2 linked regions of the Macaca fascicularis genome follow. The protein of the gene in region 1 purifies or fractionates together with the protein of each later gene. This does not show direct contact. Links are inferred from orthologs where the notes say so. Each region holds a gene or a part of one and is shown in the gene's direction. Other genes may lie near its edges. The genes, in order: EIF2AK3 and TBL2.

Evidence for each region.
Region 2: the proteins of EIF2AK3 (region 1) and TBL2 purify together in Homo sapiens (affinity purification with western blotting; 3 studies listed by BioGRID). This does not show direct contact. The link is inferred for Macaca fascicularis from reciprocal best matches to the Homo sapiens genes EIF2AK3 and TBL2.

Annotation. Positions count from the first base shown.
Region 1 is NC_088387.1:22,339,037-22,342,945, forward strand, and holds the start of EIF2AK3 (eukaryotic translation initiation factor 2-alpha kinase 3), read left to right. Parts: upstream 1-1,494; 5' UTR 1,495-1,683; coding exon 1,684-1,988; intron 1,989-3,909. UniProt on the Homo sapiens protein: Metabolic-stress sensing protein kinase that phosphorylates the alpha subunit of eukaryotic translation initiation factor 2 (EIF2S1/eIF-2-alpha) in response to various stress, such as unfolded protein response (UPR).
Region 2 is NC_088377.1:52,443,300-52,447,208, reverse strand, and holds the start of TBL2 (transducin beta-like protein 2), read left to right. Parts: upstream 1-1,105; 5' UTR 1,106-1,135; coding exon 1,136-1,262; exon of another isoform or gene 1,263-1,681; intron 1,682-3,909.

The DNA of each region.
Region 1 (3,909 bases):
GACATGTGGTAGGAGCTGGAAGGGGAAATGGGGTTTCTTGTTTGTTTTGGGCTGGGGAGAGATTAGAGCATGTTTTTAGCAGGTGAAGGATAATCTAGTATACCCATATTGCCAACACTTTAACACATCTTCACTGGTTTTGGACCAGGTGCAGTGGGTAATGCCTGTAATCCCAGAACTTTGGGAGGCTGAGGCAGGAGGATGGCTTGAGGCCAACCTGGGCAACACAGAAACCCCATCTTTACAAAACAAAATTAAAAATTGGCCTAGCACGCATCTATAGTCCCAGCTGCTCCAGAAGCTGAGGCAGGAAGATCGCTTGAACGCAGGAATTCAAGGTTACAGTGAGCTATGATCAAGCCACTGCACTCCAGCCTGGGCAAAAGAGCAAGACCCTCTCTCTAAAAAAATTTTTTTTTAATGTTCACTGGTTTTGATGCGGGTAATAGCCTCCCGGCTAGTTTCCTCATCATTGATGCTGTCACTGCTGAAGATGCATTTTCTTATCACTTCACTCATCTGCTCAAAAATCTTCAGGAAGTCTTGACTTGCAGTATTAAAAGTTCAAATGCCTTGGCTGAACATTCCAATCTTCTCCACTCTGCCCTTTTGCAGTTTCATCACTGTCTTTGGTGAGGTACAAAGCGTGCCAGGTCAGAGTCAGAAGACATGAATTAAAGTCATGATTCTGTGACCAACCAGCTATGTGATCTTAGGCAAAATACGTCAGTGCACCGGGCCGGGGCTCCTTCCCGTTCCTAAGGAGGCGGGAGGCGTGTCGGGTAGACTGGATTGTCGCAAGTCACTGTCATCTCTAACAAGCGGACTTCTGAGCACAGTTGCGGCCACAAGTAGGCCCATCTCCTGCACCCTCCTTACCCTTCCACTTCTAGGGGCCACACGACTTCTATGGCCACTTCTTCCTACTTCGCTTTTGCCTTCCTAAGTAGACTAGGCTTTAGAAGAGCTACAATGCCAGCTCCTTTAAGGTCGACCTCCTGCCGCTCATAAGGGACTTGCCTCCCACTCTTCACTTGGGACCGTCCCTTCACTTGGGACCGTCCTCTTCACAGTCAGAATCCGCCACGTAGTAAGTGCCGCTTCCAACCAATCAAGAGGCAGTTAGCGCAGACCTTTGAGGGATATCCACTTCCACCAATGATCTTGAAGTTTTCTCCAGCGCCTTGCTTTGTGGGGCGAGGCCAACCACCGCGATGGCCAATCTGTTGCAGGAAAGGTATTCCGGGAACTGATGAGCACACCAATCAGGTAAAAAGACGTCGGGGAGGGGCATTTCTCATTGGTAATTGCGTCCGGAAGAGGGACGGGCCTCGAACGACGCAATTACGATTTGATTGGTTGGTGCGATGTTGACAACCAGGGAAAGTCCGCCTTCCCCAACAAGGCCAGCCTGGGAACCTAGAGTGGCAGCGGCCGCAGCCAATGAGAGAGCAGAAGCGCGGAAAGTTTGCTCAATGGGTGATGTCCGAGAGAGGCTGTCACTCAGGTGGCAGCGGCAGAGGCCGGGCTGAGACGTGGCCAGGGGAACACGGCTGGCTGTCCAGGCCGTCGGGACGGCGGTAGGGTCCCTAGCGCGTCTTTGCCTTGGTGAGAGCTCCGAGCGGCGGGAAAGGCAGACGCCAGTGGCTGCGCCTCCATGCCTGCGCGCGGGGCGGGCCGCTGATGGAGCGCGCCACCCGCCCGGGGCTGCTGGTACTGGCGCTGCTGCTGCCGCTGCTGCTGGGGCTCGCGGCATGGACTGTGGCCGCGGGGCGCGCCCGTGGCCTCCCAGCGCCGACGGCGGAGGCGGCGTTCGGCCTCGGGGCGGCCGCTGCTCCCACTTCAGCGACGCGAGTACCGGCGGCGGGCGCCGTGGCTGCGGCCGAGGTGACTGTGGAGGACGCTGAGGCGCTGCCGGCGGCCGCGGGCGAGCAGGAGCCGCGGGGTCCGGAACCAGACGATGAGGCAGAGTTGCCACCGCGCGGCAGGTGAGGGGCTGCCGACCCTGGGGAGGCAACTTGTTTACGCGCGCGAGCTGCGGAGGATGCGGTGTCAGGGGGCGGAGATCCGGTACCCGGGCGGGCGTCTTCCTTCGGCTGCGAGGGCACCTGGCGACTTGGGGACGAGCGCGGGGCCACGACGCCCTCCCATCCCCCGGCCAGCGACCTGCCTGGGCTCGGCTCCCGAGCGCCTGGTCCTGGCCGACGGGTGAGAGCAGCATCCTCGCAGGTGCGGGAGAATGAAATTCCAGGGTTGCAAAGAAACGCCACTTCCCCTCTTTCATTGTTTTCGAGCATTGATTATCTTCCAAGGAACCTTTCCCTCTTTTTCCTTACTCACATCGCCTCCTGTCTGTGCTGGCGTAACAGCTGTTTTGAGAAAGGACTTTAGCAAAAGACGTCTGCATTTTCCTTCAAACACAACTATGTAGTGCACCCAGGCAAGGATTGAGATCAGTGTCTCTCTAATTGAGATCTGCGGAACACCTGCATCCGAATCACCTGGGGGTGCTGGTGAAATCTGCAGTTTTCTAGGGCCCACCCCAGTTTTACTGAATCAGACATTCCCTGGGTAAGAGCCTGACATCTGCATGTTTAACAAGCACTCCGGGTAATTCTTGCACGCTAAAGTTTAAGAGCTGTAGTCAAATTCTTGAATATTGATTCTTGAACCTAAGAGCCGTAGTTGGGTTCTTGAATAAGGGGGGTTTACTGTATAAACATTTAATATAGGGTTTTCTTTGAGTTTCTCAGCATTCAAAAAATATTGCTTCAAGGTGATTGTTTTAAAGCACTTTTCAAAGTCTAGACACAATGTAAGGCATGTTAACAGTAAATTTCTGGGACAGCCAATCTTATCACACCCGTGGAGAAAGTGATGTCCCATTTTATAAATGGAGTGTTAAAGGGAGCATTAAGTAAATTAAACCAGGGAAGGCTGGGCTCTGGATTGGAACATATTTTAGACTTATAATATAGTCATTACTAGATCATAACAAGTTAGATTTAATTTTAAATTAATATTAGAACTTTGATCTATATATCTACAGACTACTATAAATAAGATAGGTACCAAAATTCTCTAGGCACCATTTGAATATATAAACATTTGTTAAAAAAAAAAAAAGTGTGTGTATATATATGTATATGTGTGTGTATATATATATGTGTATATATATATAAAAAAAACAAAGTTTTCTTAGGTTTGCTAATGACTCAATTTTCCTGGAAGAGTGTTTTTGTTTATCATAAAGAAATTTCTGAAGCTCCTGCTCAAAATGAATTACATGAAGTAGAGTTTTGTTTTTCTTAGAATTCAAATCCACTTCAACAGGTACTTACTGGTTAACAAGAGCCCAAGGATGCCCTGGGTGACGGAGGTCAGGCAGGTAGATCCTGCCTTCCAGGAGAGTGTGCAGTCTAACAGTAAGGATGAAACGAGAAGATCTATAACAGCATTACAGACCAGAAACAGTGCCAGTGTCAGGGATGTCCCAGGGTTTTTGTGGTATTCTACTAGGTGAGGTATGGGATTGGGGATAGGTAACAAGATAAGAGAAGGTTGTGGCAGAATGTATTGGTTCCTGAAAAATGGGAAAATTGTAATGGACAGTCACTGGACTTGAGGAAACAGCAAGAGGCACAGAGGCTGGAGATTATGTTTGGAAAACATTTTGTCTATGTATATGTTTATTTGTGTGTGTGTGTGTATGTACGTAAGAGATATTGACATGCACGTATGTATGCTAGGCAGGGAGAAGTAGATGAGGCTAGAAAAATAGGTTAGAGCTGACTGTGTATATGTATACAGCCTGATGCTAATAGCATCATGGTCACTTGGGAGTATGTTAAAAATCCGGAGTCGGGCACCACCCCACACTCCCTGAATGAGAGTGTCTGCATTTTAACA
Region 2 (3,909 bases), on another chromosome or scaffold:
CATCAGACACAGCTTTTGCCCCACCTCTCCCTGTAATGAGCAGCTTGTTGGGTGGAGTCAGCGCTCAACGTCCCCCAGACCTTTCCACCCCTCTCGCATTTCCCACATCCCAGCTTCTCAGGTCTTTGCAGAGGCTGTTCCACACCACACACCTGGCCTACTCTTCCCCCTTCTCCACCAGCAGTAAAAGTAAAAGCCGGTCTCATCTTTCGCTGATGCTGAGTTTCCTGTTCGTTAAATGGTAATAATAATCCCCGCCCGCTTCCTTGAGAGGATCCAGTGTGGTGATGGCTGGAATAACGCCTTTAATAAACAATTATCAGTGAGTTCCTCAGGAGGAGGCGTGAACAGGGGTTGCAAATCCCGCCTTCCTCCGCCCTCCGCGGTTCTGCAACCTCAACCGCCAGGCGACCCGCCCCTCGAAACGTACCAAGTAATCGGGCCTCGCCCCTCGAGATGTTCTACCGCCAGGCCCCGCCCCTCGAGACGCTCTACCTCCGGGTTCTGCCCCTTAAGATGCGCTAACAACCCAGCCCCGCCCCTCGAGACGCTCTAACTCCAGGCTCCGCCTCTCGAGGCGCTCTAATAACTAGGATCCGCGCTTGGAGATACTCTAACTCCAGGCCCCGCCCCTGGAGACGTTCTCTAACTCCAGGCCCCGCCCCTCGAGACGCTCTAACCCAGGCTCTGTCCCTCCAGGCGCTTTAACAACCAGGTCCCGCCCCTCGAGACGCTCTACCTCTGGGTTCGGCCCCTCGAGACGCTCTAACCCAGGCTCCGCCCCTCGAGGCGCTTTAATAACCAGGTTCCTCTCCTCGAGACGCTCTAACGGCCAGGCTCCGCCTTCAAGGAGCTCTAACAATCAGGCCCCGCCCCTCGAGACGCTCTAACAGTCAGGCCCCGCCCCTCTAGCGCCCCAACAGCTGGGCCCCACCCGTTGAGACGCTCTAACGGCCAGGCCCCGCCCTGAAGGTATTATAACAACCAGGCTCCGCCCCCAGGCGCTCTAACGGCCAGGCCCCGCCGCTCGAGGCGCCCCAACGGCCAGGCCCCGCCCCCGCGTGCGTGCGCGACTCCGCAGAGCCGTGCGGGCGCCCGCGTACTCACTGGCTGAGGTGGCAGTGGCCCCGCCAACATGGAGCTCTCGCAGATGCCGGAGTTCATGGGGCTGTCGGTGTTGCTTGGGCTGCTGGCCCTGATGGCGACCGCGGCGGTAGCGCGGGGGTGGCTGCGCGCGGAGGAGAGGAGCGGCAGGCCCGCCTGTAAGTGGGGCCGGGTCGGGTGGGGGCGACCCGCGTGACCTCCTCGTGGTCCGAGCTGTGGTTTGGGCCCGCGGCTGTTGGGGCTCGGCGACTCCATGGGCCTCAGTTTCTCCTCTGGTGACGTGAGCTTCGCTTCCAGAGACGAGGGCCCGCCTCGCCGGGCTAGGCGCACCCCCTGGGGCAGGACTGGCTCCAACCTGGGCCCCGCGCTGCGACTTTCACCGTCGCCCAGGCTAGGCCGTCCCCGGGGTGGCCAGGAGAGCACCGTAAACTCTTCAGCGATCTCAGAAAAAGCACCAATTCTGTGATGTGTGGCAGCATTTGCTGGGCATCTATGACCCTGTGATAGGCTTTGGGGTCTTTTTCTGTAAGGAGTCCAGTAAAGGAGAAGTACATCTGCGTGATGAACACCTAAACATGTAAGTGAAAAACAGTGAAATAAGTTTCATTGAGGCCAGGCGCGGTGGCTCACGCCTGTATTCCCAGGACTTTGGGAGGCCGAGGCAGGGAGATCGCTTGAGCCCAGGAATTTGAGACCAGCCTGAGCAACATAGCAAGACTCCATCTCTACGAAAAATTAGCTGGGTGTGGTTGTGCACGCCCCTGTAGTCCCAGCTCCATGGGAGGCCGAGGCAGGAGGGTGGCGTGAGTCCAGGAGTTCAAGGCTGCAGTGAGCTGTGATCAATCGCGCCACTGCACTCCAGCCCAGGTGACAGCAAGAGCCTGTCTCTGAAAAGTTTCATAGAAGAGGTTAGTACTGGAAACGGGAAACACCAGAGAGGGAATGGGCAGCCCTGCTCTTTTTATGTTTGAGACAGAGTTTCGCTCTTCTTGCCCAGGCTGGAGTACAGTGGCAGGATCTTGGCTCACTGCAACCTCCGCCTCCCGGGTTCCAGCAATTCTTCTGCCTCTGCCTCCCGAGTAGCTGGGACTACAGGCACACACACCACCAGGCCTGAGGAATTTTTGTATATTTAGTAGACACGGGATTTTGCCACGTTGGTCAGACTGGTCTCGAACTCCTGACCTCAGGTGATCCACTCGTCCTGGCCTCCAAAAGTGCTGGGATTACAGGTGTGAACCACTGTGCCCAGCCAGCCCTGCTCCTTTTTTTTTTTTTTTTTTTTTTGGTGACGGAGTCTTGCTCTGCCTCCCAGGCTGGAGTGCAGTGGCGCGATCTTGGCTCACTGCGAGTTCCGCCTCCCAGGCTCATGCCATTCTCCTGCCTCAGCCTCCTGAGTAGCTGGGACTACAAGCGTCCACCACCACCACGCCCGGCTAATTTTTTGTATTTTTTAGTAGAGACGGGGTTTCACCGTGTTAGCCAGAATGGTCTCGATCTCCTGACCTCATGATCTGCCTGCTTTGGCCTCCCAAAGTGCTGGGATTATAGGCATGAACCACTGTTCCCCGCCCAGCCCTGCTCTTTTACTGGGGAGGTGGTTGTTAGAGAAATCATTACTGAGAATAGGGGCACATGAGGTAGTGTGGGGTCTCAAAGGATGGTTCTAGAATAAGAGTTTGCCGCAAAGCCAAGGAAAAAAGACATTCCTGCCAATGGCAATACCCGAGCAGGCAAGGAGTCCCCAAACAGCATTTGGTATGACTTAAGTGTGAGGAGGGGGGCTTGTTAGACAAGCCTGGAGAGAAGGAAGCAGAGGACAGATTGTGGCTCTGTTTGTATGCAGGGCTCAGGAGCTTTTTTCCTGTTGGAATTGGGGAGCATCTGCAGTCATTTAACACATGCTAGCTTTGTGACTCAAGTATCTTATGCAAAAGTGATTGGCTCCACTCTCCAGCACAGGGCTCAACAGATGTTGACTTCTCCACCCCGAGTTCTTTTGGGTGCTGGAGTGCAGTGACGCAATCTGGGCTCACTGCAACCTCCACCTCCTGGGTTCAAGCAATTCTCCTGACTCAGCCTCCTAAGTAGCTGAGATTGCAGGCGCCTGCCACTGTGCCCGGCTAATTTTTGTATGTTTAGTAGAGACGGGGTTTCACCATGTTGGCCAGGCTGGTCTGGAACTCCTGGGCATCAAGATGATCCAGCTGCCTCAGCCTCCCAAAGTGCTGGGATTACAGGCGTGAGCCACCACGCCCAGCCTCCATAAAGCCTTTAATGCTTGTGTTTGGTACTTTTGCTTGTCATTTTGTAGATATCTCATCCAATTCAATCTCCCTTATTTTTGTTTATTTATATCTTTTTTGAGACAGAATCTCATTCCGTTCCCCAGGCCGGAATACAGTGGCGTGATCACTGCATTCGAACTCCTGGGCTCAAGCAATTTTCCCTCCTCAGCCTCCGAATAGCTGGGACCACAGGCGCATGCCACCATTCCCAGCTAATTAAAGTTTTCTGTAGAGACGGGGTGTCACTCTGTTAACCAGGCTGGTCTCCAACTCCTGAGCTCAAGCAATCCTCCTACCTCAGCCTCCCAAAGTGCTGGGGTCACAGGCATGAGCCACTGTGCCCAGCTCTCAACCTCTCTTTAAGAAAACCAAGGTTGGGCGAGACGCAGTGGCTCACACCTATAATCCCAGCACCTTGGGAGGCCAAGGCAGGCAGATCACTTGAGGTGAGGAGTTGGAGACCAGCCTTGCCATCATGGTGAAACACCATCTCTACTAAAAAAAAACAAAAAATTAG